3 linked regions of the Ovis aries genome follow. The protein of the gene in region 3 purifies or fractionates together with the protein of the main gene of each other region. This does not show direct contact. Links are inferred from orthologs where the notes say so. Each region holds a gene or a part of one and is shown on either strand. Other genes may lie near its edges. The genes, in order: PIAS4, CNTN2 and IKBKG.

Region 1 (3,743 bases), on a different chromosome or scaffold from region 3:
TCAGATCTGTGTTTATAAACAGCGCCAGGCCCACAACAGCTTCCAGAGCCTCAGTTCTGGGCCCCTCAGGAGCCGCATGGAGAAACAGCGGCCTGGATACAACAGTCACACTCAACTGAACAGGGGCTCCTCACTGCAGGAACTCAGAACTCAGCGCATATGGCTACACACCCTCTAGGGGAGTGCCCAGTCCAACCCTTCCCCGCAACCCCTCTCAGGGGCCTCAGGTGAAGAGTCTCAGATTTCCAAGTGTATGAATAAGTCCCCCTTGCTCTCCTCTCAGATCAGCCCATTTTGCATCCATCCCAAAAGATAAGTCTCTGGTTATCACTATGAAAGGTTTAAGAAAGTGTCTCAAAGAGGGGGTTATTTCAATGACATGTAAAGCACTCCATGGGGACAGCAAGGTGCTGAAGAAGCAGGAAGGTTCCAGAGGATCAGAGAAGGCTGGGTGGCAGTTCTGAGACCCCCTAGGACAGAGGCTCATGGTTTAGAGAACTTGATAAAGGATCAATCTGATCTAATTGGGGAGGGGGCCCCAGTCATGGAAGGGTCAAGTAGAGTTCATCAGATCATATTTCAAGGCCCTAGATGGTATAATAGTTCAGACCCTACTCTCTGGCTGGAGTGGCAGGCCTGCATCTAGAGCCACAGGCCCACAGTGCCCTGAGGAAGTTAAATTTCAGGGCTCCAGGGGACTTCAGGCCATAGGATGCCACCTTGGGCTGGCAGGGTTCGGACCCCTGCATCTCTAGGGCAACTCTCAATTTCTCAAAACAGAGCGGTGGCCGCATGTGTGATGCAGGTATAGGTGGAGGGCACTCAGGGGTGAAGGGAGAGTAATACTGGATAATCACAGAACCATGAGGGCTGTATTTCAGATCCCCGTGGGAAGCAAAGGGAGACGGAGGGAGAGGGAGGAGCGAGAGAGAGAAAACATTTACAGGTCAGGACCCCTGGGAGGAAAGATCAGCGGGGGAGGGGGCGGGGCCTGTCTTGCTAGGTCCCTTCCCCACCTCCGAAAGATGAGCGGCCTTGAGTAAACTTCTCAGGCAAGAACCTAGCCTAGTCAGGGGCAAGGGTTCTGGAGCCTCACCTCACAGGGGCCTCTGACAGTAGATACTTCCCTGGGAGAGAGATGCACCCAGCTTAGTGCCAAGACGGTTAAAAGGGGCCTCAAGCTAGAAGGAGTAACATCCTTGGGATGTAGAATGTGGACCCCAGACAGCAATGCAGGGGAGACAGACTAGGAACCATTTTAAAGAACCTTGCAATCAACTGGGGACATTCCAAGGATCAACGTAAGAGACCCGCAGAAAGAGCAGGGCCTCAGACGCCAGAGCTGGGCTGTCTAAACAGATCTAAAGAGAGGCTGTGTGCGGAGTGTGGTCTGAGCAGTAGACTCGTGATGGCCTGAGTATAAGGGAAGCAGCTGGGGTTGGAAACGGGGTCTGATCCTCCGAGTGTGGAGTCTAGGGCTCCCAGGAGCAGAGTTCACAGCTGCACAAATGCTGTCGGGAGGAGAAAGAGTGAGAAGGAACGCAAAACCCAGGACCTGTGACTGAGAGAAAAGAGTTAGGAAGGAGCTGACACCAGGACCAAGGCTCCATCACACCGGGAAGGCAAGCTCAGGAAGGCAAGCTCAGTTAACACCGCGCTCACTCCGGGGTGAGAAGGGTGTCAGGAGGGGGCGGGGCTCTGGGACCAGAGCGGGAGCTGAATAAGGGCTCTAAACCCCAGCCTGGGGTACAGACCCTCAAGAGACACCCTGTGTTTGGGGGCGGTTCAGGATCCCCAGCTCATCACCCGTGGCAGAAAACTCAGAGGACCCTTCCGAGCAGAGAGCCGCCAAGCGCAGCCTGATCAGCTGGGCGAGGAGACTTGAGACCCAGATGCCAGCCCACTATACCATGGGAAGCGGTGAGAGGCGGACACTCCCCCAAGCCAAAGAGCGCCGACCTCGAGGAAGGGACGAGCAGCCCAACCCGTCACGCTGTCCGGGGGGAATGTGCCTCAAGCTGGAGGCGCGGCCCTGTGCCTGCGTTCAGCGCGATCTGGACCCTAGTCGCTAGGGTTGGAGAGGGGAGGACCCAACCTCACGCCTGGGGGGGCCGAACCCCCTGCTCGGAGACTGGGGTGAGGTTTTGGGGGCCCCGCCCCCGGCCTCCCGCGCCCCGCCCGCAACCGGAGCCCCCAGGCCAGGGACGGGCGAGGGGGCAGGACGCCGAGCCGCAGGCGGGCCGCGCCGTGGGGCCCCGAGCGGAAGGCACAGACCTCGGGCTGCCGCCCGACCCCCGTCCCCCGCCCGCCCTGGCCGGCGCCGCCGCCGCTCACTCACTTTGGCCTCCACCAGTTCCGCCGCCATCTTGGCCACCAGCGTCCCCCGCGCCGGGAGCCCCCAGCCGTCGCGTCACGTGATCGCCTTCCATTCGCGGGCGGGGCCCGCGCCGCGGCCAATTATCACCCTCGCGCCCTCCTCCCCTCTGGCGCGCGCGACCGCGCACTGCGCAAGCGCGCGCGGCACCGCCCGGGCCTCCGGCCAATCAGGGCTGCCCGACTACGCACCCACCCTCCCCGTTTCACTCACTGTGACCACGCCCACCCCTGGCCGTGTCTGGTTTCTTAAAGGGGTACAAGGCCGGCACAGGTTGGGGCGGATACTGGGTCCTGTCTGACGAGAGAGTAGACAGTTGAGGCGACAACAATGCAGCCAGGTGTCGCGGTCTCCTGCGCGAGGCAGCCTCCAGGTGCGTGACCGGACGCCTCGCTGCCAGGAGGGAGAAAATGGTTGGCCCGCGCAGCGGCCGCCACTGCGTGCAGTGAGGCGCCGTGGAGCGCAGCGCGGTTCATTCTCAGCGGGCCGGGAGCCCCACGCGCTGTACATCCGGGTCCTGGGGTGGCTGAGAGGGCGAGGGCGCCACACCCCCTTGGTGCGCCGCCGGCGGAGAAATGCTGTACCCCCTACCCAATTCCCGCGGTGCAGGTGACCACCCTCCCGCCCACTTCCGCCTCTCCACCCACGGTAAACCTTTGGAATTTGCGCTAATCGGAAATTTACCAGCTTTAGAGCTCTCCGTGGCTCCCCAGTGTCGGTGAGCTGCTAAGCCCAAACTTTCTTGTGTCAAAGAAAGCAAGAGGATAAAAACGTATTTCGGGGCCCATCCCTTGAGAAAATGAAGCGCGCCAAATGACTCAGTTATCAAGTTACTAATTTTTATATAAAAATGCAGAAATAGCCATGATGAAGAAAATAATAAAATTTAAGAGAGTATCAGTTCAGCCCTCAGTCGTGTCTGACTCTTTGCGACCCTATGAATCGCAGCACGCCAGGCCTCCCTGTCCATCACCAACTCTCTGTCGTCCCCTTTTCCTCCTGCCCCCAATCCCTCCCAGCATCAGGGTCTTTTCCAATGAGTCAACTCTTCGCATGAGGTGGCCAAACTACTGGAGTTTCAGCTTTAGCATCACTCCTTCCAAAGAACACCCAGGACTGATCTCCTTTAGAATAGACTGGTTGGATCGCCTTGCATTCCAAGGGACTCTCAAGAGTCTTCTCCAGCACCACAGTTCAAAAGCATCAATTCTTCGGCGCTCAGCTTTCTTCACAGTCCAACTCTGACATCCATACATGACCACAGGAAAAACCATAGCCTTGACTAGACGGACCTTTGTTGGCAAAGTAATGTCTCTGCTTTTTAATATGCTATAAGAGGTTATACAACTTTGTATAAGTGACTTCCCTC
Region 2 (3,743 bases), on a different chromosome or scaffold from region 3:
TGGAAGAGGGAGAGAAAAGGATGCCTGTCTGCCCATGGATTCCTGAGTCACTCCTGCCTGTATTTATTGCAGGATGACCTGAGGCTGGGAGAAATTTACAGGGTCATCCAGCCCAACTTCTACTCCAGGCAGAAGTGCCTCTCAGCTTGGCCCGGACCCCACGTCCCCGCCCCTCACACAGTCATGGGAAAGAAGGCTGCCCCAACTCTTCATGGCTCATCGTCCTGGTGAGGAAGTCGCTCCTGCAGTCTAGCTTCAGTCTCTCTTGCTTCATTGGCGTATCTGTTGCTCTAGTTCTTTTCCTGTGAATCAACCCTGTGGTTCTGACCTTAGGCTTCTGAGACAAGCTTTCTCACAAACATTTGGCCGAGGACATCTCTGAGGGTGGGGGCACTGTGCCTTCTCAAAGGGCGTGGCTTCCCCAATGGTCTTCAAGTCAAAGAAGACACTTTGCGGGCACCTCCTTCTTAGTACTGCTCCTGAGGAGCGAGTCTGGTCAGCCAGTCAGAGACCACCCTGCTGAGCGCACTGCCTCAGAGGCCCTTCCCACACGCGTCTATTTAAACTGCTCTGGCAGAGAAGGTGTTGGAACGGAGTTGCATAAGGGAGTGAAATCCGGGGCTGGGGGGGATGGTGTGGGGTGGGGGCGTGCATTTGACCGGCAGGGACCGTGCGGAGAGAGCTTGCCGGTGTAGACACTGGGTGGGGAGTAAGAGGGGAATAAGCAGGGCCCCTCTGCTCGGGCAGTGTGCTTCTGCGTCCCCCGCCACTCAGGGGGGCCCCAGAAGGAGAGGGGGCATCGGGGACTTTGCTGCCGTGGGCACAGCGGCCCCTCCATGTCTGTCTCACCTCAGCCCCCTCCTGATGGCTGGGAGCTCCTGGTAGATCTCATGAGGAAGGAGAGAGAACTCTGACCTCAGGTGAAAGCCATCCTCGAGGGGACCTGCAGCCTGGCTGGAGAGGGTTAGGTGGTGGGCCCCGGGTGGGGCATGGACCTCCCTGCTCCCAAGGCCAGGGTCGGGCACGTCTCTGCCCCACCTCCGGCCCACCCCCTCTGCCCTCGGTCCCATCGGGTGGGCTCTCTGGCCGGGAGGCTGGGAGAGGAGTCCCAGACGGCCGCCGGGAATGTGATCAGACCAGCGACACCCTGGCTAACGTGGAGTCTTCCTCCTCTCGCCTCCCTCCAGGCAGAAGGACAGGATGCCAGCTGGGCTGGGGAGGGAGGCTGGGGCTTTGGGGGTCAGGCCGGAAGGCAAGGGTGAGAGGAGTCTGACCCACTGCAGGCTGGATGTGAAGCAGGGGGAAGTTAGGAGCAGGAAACCTGGGGGCAAGCAAGCCCAGATTCTCCGGGGCAGGGGTCATGGGCACTCACAGCTCCCCAACCTCTAAACAGCCTGGACCGACAGCTTCTCCCCTAGGACTCAGGCTCAGCCCCCACCCGTCTGTGGCTTTGTCCCTGCGCGGCGCGAACACTCTCCTTCCACAGGCGCTGTCTCAGCTCACCCCCTTCCACTCCCCAGACGTGGGGACCCCTCCTGGAGGAGGAGATGGCTGCGCAACCCCCTCTGCCTCTGGCCCATAGGACTGCCTTCTCTTTCAAGACCCCCGACTTGGCAGCTCTCTCCCTTCCGGCCCATCCCCTCCCCTGCTGGGAAGTCAAACTTCTGCACCTCCTTCACCGCCACCGGCGAGGATGGGGTGGCCCGAGGAGACGAGGAGGGTGGGCAGGGCAGAAGGGATGTGACTTGACCCAGGTTCTCCTCCCTAAGTCCGGGCTCCTGGACAGGCCTTTGCCTAAACTTGCGCTCCAGTCTCCCCTCACCTCCTGCAGCCTCCCCCTCAGTCTAACAGAAGCAGGACTTTATAAAGAGGTCACCCTGCACAGGCAGGCCAGCGCGGCCTCACGTCCGGCCAGTCAGGTTTGCTCCCATCCAGGGACAGGGCAGGCCAGGGCACGGGGGCCTGGCCTCACTCACAGACAGTCAAGCCCTGGGCTAGGGGCACAGGGCAGGGCTGTGGCCTCTGCCCACTCTGGGGGCAGTCACTGCTGCCAGCCTGTGGCTTGAGCTCCTGGACACACTCTTGGGGTTCAGCTTGCCGGCCAGGCCTGGCCTGCCAGGGCCCTGCAGGGTGCCACCTACGTCGACAGGGCGGAGGGGGTCTCGGTCTCCGCGGCCCCTGGGGGGCTGGGGTGAGAAGTCAGACAGCCCCTGCCAGCCAGCTGGGGTTTCTGCTCTGGCCCTGTGCCCTGCTCCCCGCAAAGGAACTGAGCGCCCAGCCCCTGCCCACAGCGGTGCCCCGGGAAGCCCCTGGGCTGGAGGAGACAAAAGCGGCTGGCACCTACCTGGGATGCAAGGAGGGTGTTGGCCGGGGAAGGGGGACGCCGCTCACGCCGGGGAGCCGAGCCAGCCGGGCTGCCGGCCCGAGCCGCCCTCCTCCGCTCCGCTCCCTCAGCCCCAGCGCTCGCTGCCGACCTGGTGCAGCGGCGGGCGAGGGCGCGCGTGTGCGCGTGTGCGCCTGTGTGCGCCTGTGTGCCGCCGGTTCACTGCAGCATCTCTGCACCGAGATGCGCTCCTCCCTCTCGCCGGCGCCGCTCACTGGCTGGCGCGGGCTCAGCCTGGAGACGCGCCCCGGCCCCTCCCTTCCCCAGCCGCCCTGCTTCACCTCATTTGCTTCCCGTGTTTAAGGGCCGGGCGCGTCTTCCGTGGGGCTCGGGCGGCTCAGCCCCCGCGCCGCCTGGCCTCTGCCCCCGCCCTCCCTGCCCAGCGCCGAGCTGAAGGGCTGCAGAGGGTGCGCTGAGGAAGTACTAGAGAGCAGCTTAGTCCTCAAACCCGAGATCCATGGCAGCAAACTCCATGGAATCGACTCTTAGAGGAAGGGCTGCAAATTAGAAATGAGGTGCGGGCCGAGTGGGGTGGAGGGCTGCCTCCGATCGTCTTTATTGTTTCCCGTTTATGAGAGTAAGGTGGGCTCTTGGTCAAGATAACCGAACAGTAGAGGAAATTTTAACATAGATAGTGAATGTACCTTAACAGATTTAAATTACATGCCTCCGGGTTTATTATTTTCCTGTAAATAATTACATGGATTATTAGTATTATTTTATGCAGATGGATCACCTCATATATCATTGATTGACAAAATATTTTAAAATTATATAGTAGACCTTGAGCCGCTTTTCACACTTTCAACCAGCCCGCAGTGTGTTGTCATGAAAAGACCACTAGGTTGAGTCTGGGTCTCTGCAAGGCAGTCTGGGCCCTGCGACTAGCTCAACTGAGTGTTCTAGGCTGAGTGTGTCATCTTCCTGAGCCTCACTGATAACCTGAAGGGGCTAACGGTGGCCAGGGTCCCTGCCGGCTCTGAGACTCTAGGTGCTCACTGGTGAGCAGCGCGTCTCCCGCTCTCTGCTCCTGTCGTGTGGCAGGCGTGCCCCGGGAGGCTGGGGCCTGGAGGAGGAGGGACGAGCCGTCTGTGGCAGCCGCGGCCCGGCAGGCTGTCACTGTGTCCCCATCCCGGTCCACCTGCTGTCTAGCTCACACAGATGAGACCAGTGAGCGGTCCAGATGCTGAAGCAGCTGGTGGGGCCACGCCAACGTCAGAGCTTTCAGGGGGCATACCTGTCAAGCCTGGAGCGTGGCCATCAGAGCTTTCAGGGGACATAGCTGTCAAGCCTGGAGTGTGGCTCCATGTATCTTTGAGTGGAGAGGGACACAGAGGCTTGGGACGGGGCTGGGTCGACA
Region 3 (3,743 bases):
TGCCCAGGAGGGGCACACAGGGGGCAGCTTAGCCCCCACCCTGGCCCCAGCCTCATCCCTCGAGGCACCAGAAAGCTTAACACCTCGGAGTTGGTCCAAGAAATAGGTTGACAGAGAAAGTTACTCAGGATTATTTTTCCTCCTTCCCCCATCCCCATCCCAGCCTGTCCCAAGACATTCCAGCAGAGGGTCCCCAGCCTTAGTAAATTGCCTATGACCCTAGATCCTCAACTCCGATTAAACCACCTCAGTGAGAGCATCCAAGTGTGTTCTGTGGCCTGGGCCAAGTGTCTCCTCCTCTCTCAACCCCACAGTCTCCACTTGGCAATGGAAGTCTTTGGAGCACCAAGGGGCCCCAGGGTTCTGCTGAGCTGATTTGGTGACTCCTCCCTGCCTTCACGTGTGGTGGCCTTGGCATTGGGCAACATTGTTTCTTTGCAACCCGAGTAGTTCCCCTTTGCTCTTCTCTGTTCCAAGAGCAATCAGCAGAGGCTTCTAGGGCAGAAAGAGGAAGTGCCAGCTGCAGCCAGCAGGGCGGGGGGTGGGGGAGTACCAGGGCCTCTGAAGTAGAGCCTGTTTTTTCTGTTGTTTTGTTTCTCCCCTTCCTGCTGGGATATGTGGGAGGCAGGCAGGCGGCACAAACCTGTTACTCTGGGAGACCAAGGAGTTCACAGCACAGCAGGCACCTGCCCTGAGGCCCCCCCACCCCCCCACTGTGGGAGCCGTGCCTGGGGGCTGGGCCTGAAGGTGAGTGCATGTGACAGCAAACACTGCCAGGCCTTCACACCCCAGGCCTTGGGAGGCGCCAAGGTCCGCAGAGCCAGGGCCTCGGAGCGGAGCCTGCGACTCCAAAAAGGATGAGCTGTCTTCCGCCCCTCTCCTCCCTGCCGGCTTTGCCCAACCCCGCACCCACGCGCCCAGGTTCCGCCCCGTCCGAAGGCCAGCCTGAGGAGTTACCTGATGGCCTTGTAGCTGCAGCCGCTCCCTACTCCCTCCTCCAGACTCCCACCCTCAGTAGGAGGGCAGTGGACGTACTTACAGGACCTGGTCTGGAGGCCTCTGGAACCCAGGAACCCCGTTTCTCCTTCCAGACCAGTGTTGAGAGAGGAACCCTGGGCCTGCCAGGCTGGAGCCACTCTAACCCCCAATGGAAACAGAGCGATTGAGATGAGAGAAAGATCAGGCCGAGGAGCCCCCTCGGGCAGAAGTGGCTCAGTGCAGGTTCTGCAGGGCGGTCTTTGCCTTTGGGCCTCAGTTTCCCCATCTGGGCCATGGGCTCGATGAGTGCTCCAGGGCCCAGCCCAGAGACGGGGTCCTGCCAGGGCTGAGCTGGAGGACCCGGGCCCTCTCTCCTCAGGGGGTGCTTCTGGGCCGCCTCACCTCCTGGGGCGATAAGATTCCTGCTGTGTCACGGTGACTCTGGCGCTCCCCCAAAGGGCTGATGAGTCATGAGCCCCGCGGCCCAGGAGGGAGGCCAGGCAGATCTTGCCTCGAGGGGGATAGAGCCCACCCCTGCCCGGCCTCCCAACTTCTACTGTCACGTGCTCCACCCTAACACCCTTCGAGACCAAGGGCTCATCAAACTGGAGACTTGAGATAAGATCAGGGTGCTGGCAGGCCAGATGCAGGTGGCTGGAAATCTGCAGCAGGCCCTGCTCCTGCTGCTAAGTCACCACGTGGCCCCAGACTCCTCCAGACCCCACGAGCACTGTGCTCTCAGCCCATGTTACCTCCAGCAGTGCAACCAGGCCCAGGCTGCTGGGTAGGGGGGCCTCCTAGGCCTCTGTGCCCCCACCCCCGTCTGGGTCCTACCTCACTCCTCCCTTGGGTGAGTGACTCAGGCCGCTGGTGGCAGGGCTGAGCTGAACAAGGCGAGCAGGTTCCACCCCTTGCTAATCCCAAATGGACCGGTGAGGGCAGTCGGGTGTAGGGCACCGTGACTCAGCAGACAGGACACTAACCCACTGGAATTTGACCGGAAGCAAACATTCCTCTGGGCCAGGAGGTGCCCGCCGACAGGGGACTGATGGCTTCTCCTGCTGGAGCCCCGCAACAGGAGGGGTCAGCGGAAAGCGGGCACTGCTGGGCACTGGGAGGAGAGGGGCCACAGGGGTTGCAGCTGGGCTCCAGGGAGACCCCAGCCAGGGATCAGTGACTGACCTTGAGGCGCTGTTATCTCCAGGCTTCCCAGGGAAGGTGGCCGGCAGGAGGGGGCCCTGCTCCAGAGCCTTCAGCAATCAGTTCTAAGTGGCTGGCAGACAGGGGGCGGGGGCTGCAACACAGGGCACCCTGGTTTGGGAACCACCCACTGGAGCACTCCAGGTTCCGCTAGAGCCCGGAGGTGGCGGAGAGACACTGGCCCGTGTGGGCTGGGCACTAGCCAAGACCTGGGCCGGAGCAGACTTGTCCACGTGCAGATGTTGGCTCAGCCCAGGAGACAGAGGGTGAAGCCACAAATGGGGATTGAGCATGCTAGCCTCAAAAGTGGCCCCCATCGCCCCCAGCCAGGGGAGGACTCACCCACCTGGTAGCTCCCCAACTACCGTCCTCATGGCCCGTCTAGGGGTGCAGATTGCAATCGGTTCTGGTCCTGCGGCTCCTCTCTGCAACAGTCCACAGATGTGACTGCGTCCAGTGCTGACATGACTCTTAAAGGGTCATTTTGCCCTGAAGACTCAGGTCCTCACCCCTGGAGGTGATTTTCCTGCCCGGGGCGAGTCTAGCAGCTCTGCCCAGCAGCCCTCACTGATGACAGGGCAGGGGGCATAAAAGGGCACCTGCTCTTCACCCAGGCCATGCCCAGGCTCACCACCTCTTCCACCCAGAGTGGAGAATTCCTTTGTCAGGTCACCAAAAGCAAGCAGGTAGCCGTGGCTATGGCAGCTAAACCGGCCTGGAGAGAAGGGACTGGGTGACTTCGTGGGATGACAATGTTGTTGCTCACAGTTGCTGTCTTCACACACTTGCCATTATCTTGGAAAGTTTCACATGGTCAACAGCAAGCACCGCCCGCCGTCTGCTCAGTTGTTCTTTTCAGTCTTTTTATTTGTAGGCAACATTCGTACACATCGAAAGACATCTTCTCTGTCCAATCGGTTCTGACCTTTATAACCAGAGGCAACGTTTCCAACTCCCCAGCCAGTCCACCTCCTGCTGTGGACTCTCACTTCTGTCACTGTGGCTGCTTTGCCTTTTCTAAAGCTTCCCTTAAATGAACTCAGGGTGTTGAGCCTTGTGTGTCCAGCATTCTGGTTCTGAGAATTGCTTGTGTTGAGTAGGCCACTGGCTCATCCCTTTTTTCTTGGTTTGTAATCTTTGTTCTTGCCCCCTGCGTGGCTTGCAGGATCTTAGTTCCCCTACCAGGGATCAAACCCGCAAACCCCTGTGGTGGAGTCCTAACTACTGGACCACCAGGGAATCCCCCTGGCTCATCCCTTGGTGTTGCTGAGTAGGTGTCCCACTGTGTAGATATCCAGCTTGTCCATCCCCTGTTGATGGCCTTTCACTGTGTCCCAGCTCAGGGCTGTTGGGAATTATGGCTGCTGTGAACCCTGGTGCAAGTGTTTCCTCCACACCACCTCCAACACCAGATGGGGTTAGTTTTTTCAGATTACAACCTACTGGTGAAGGTCAAGCTGGATCTCATTGTGGTCTAATTTGTATTTTTGTGACAACTGGTCATCTTGACCACTTTCCTGTGTGTTAAGTAACCATTGATTTTTCTTGTTGTGAAGTATGTGGTC

Evidence for each region.
Region 1: the proteins of IKBKG (region 3) and PIAS4 purify together in Homo sapiens (affinity purification with western blotting; 5 studies listed by BioGRID, with this or other methods). This does not show direct contact. The link is inferred for Ovis aries from reciprocal best matches to the Homo sapiens genes IKBKG and PIAS4.
Region 2: the proteins of IKBKG (region 3) and CNTN2 purify together in Homo sapiens (affinity purification with western blotting, with the first as the bait; 3 studies listed by BioGRID). This does not show direct contact. The link is inferred for Ovis aries from reciprocal best matches to the Homo sapiens genes IKBKG and CNTN2.

What each region holds. Positions count from the first base shown.
Region 1 is NC_056058.1:17,802,757-17,806,499, forward strand, and holds the start of PIAS4 (E3 SUMO-protein ligase PIAS4), read right to left. Parts: upstream 2,391-3,743; 5' UTR 2,366-2,390; coding exon 2,339-2,365; intron 1-2,338.
Region 2 is NC_056065.1:2,672,035-2,675,777, reverse strand, and holds the start of CNTN2 (contactin-2), read right to left. Parts: upstream 2,500-3,743; 5' UTR 2,345-2,499; intron 1-2,344. UniProt on the Homo sapiens protein: In conjunction with another transmembrane protein, CNTNAP2, contributes to the organization of axonal domains at nodes of Ranvier by maintaining voltage-gated potassium channels at the juxtaparanodal region. May be involved in cell adhesion.
Region 3 is NC_056080.1:79,920,902-79,924,644, forward strand, and holds the start of IKBKG (NF-kappa-B essential modulator), read right to left. Parts: upstream 2,254-3,743; 5' UTR 2,161-2,253; intron 1,845-2,160; exon of another isoform or gene 1,040-1,844; intron 1-1,039. UniProt on the Homo sapiens protein: Regulatory subunit of the IKK core complex which phosphorylates inhibitors of NF-kappa-B thus leading to the dissociation of the inhibitor/NF-kappa-B complex and ultimately the degradation of the inhibitor.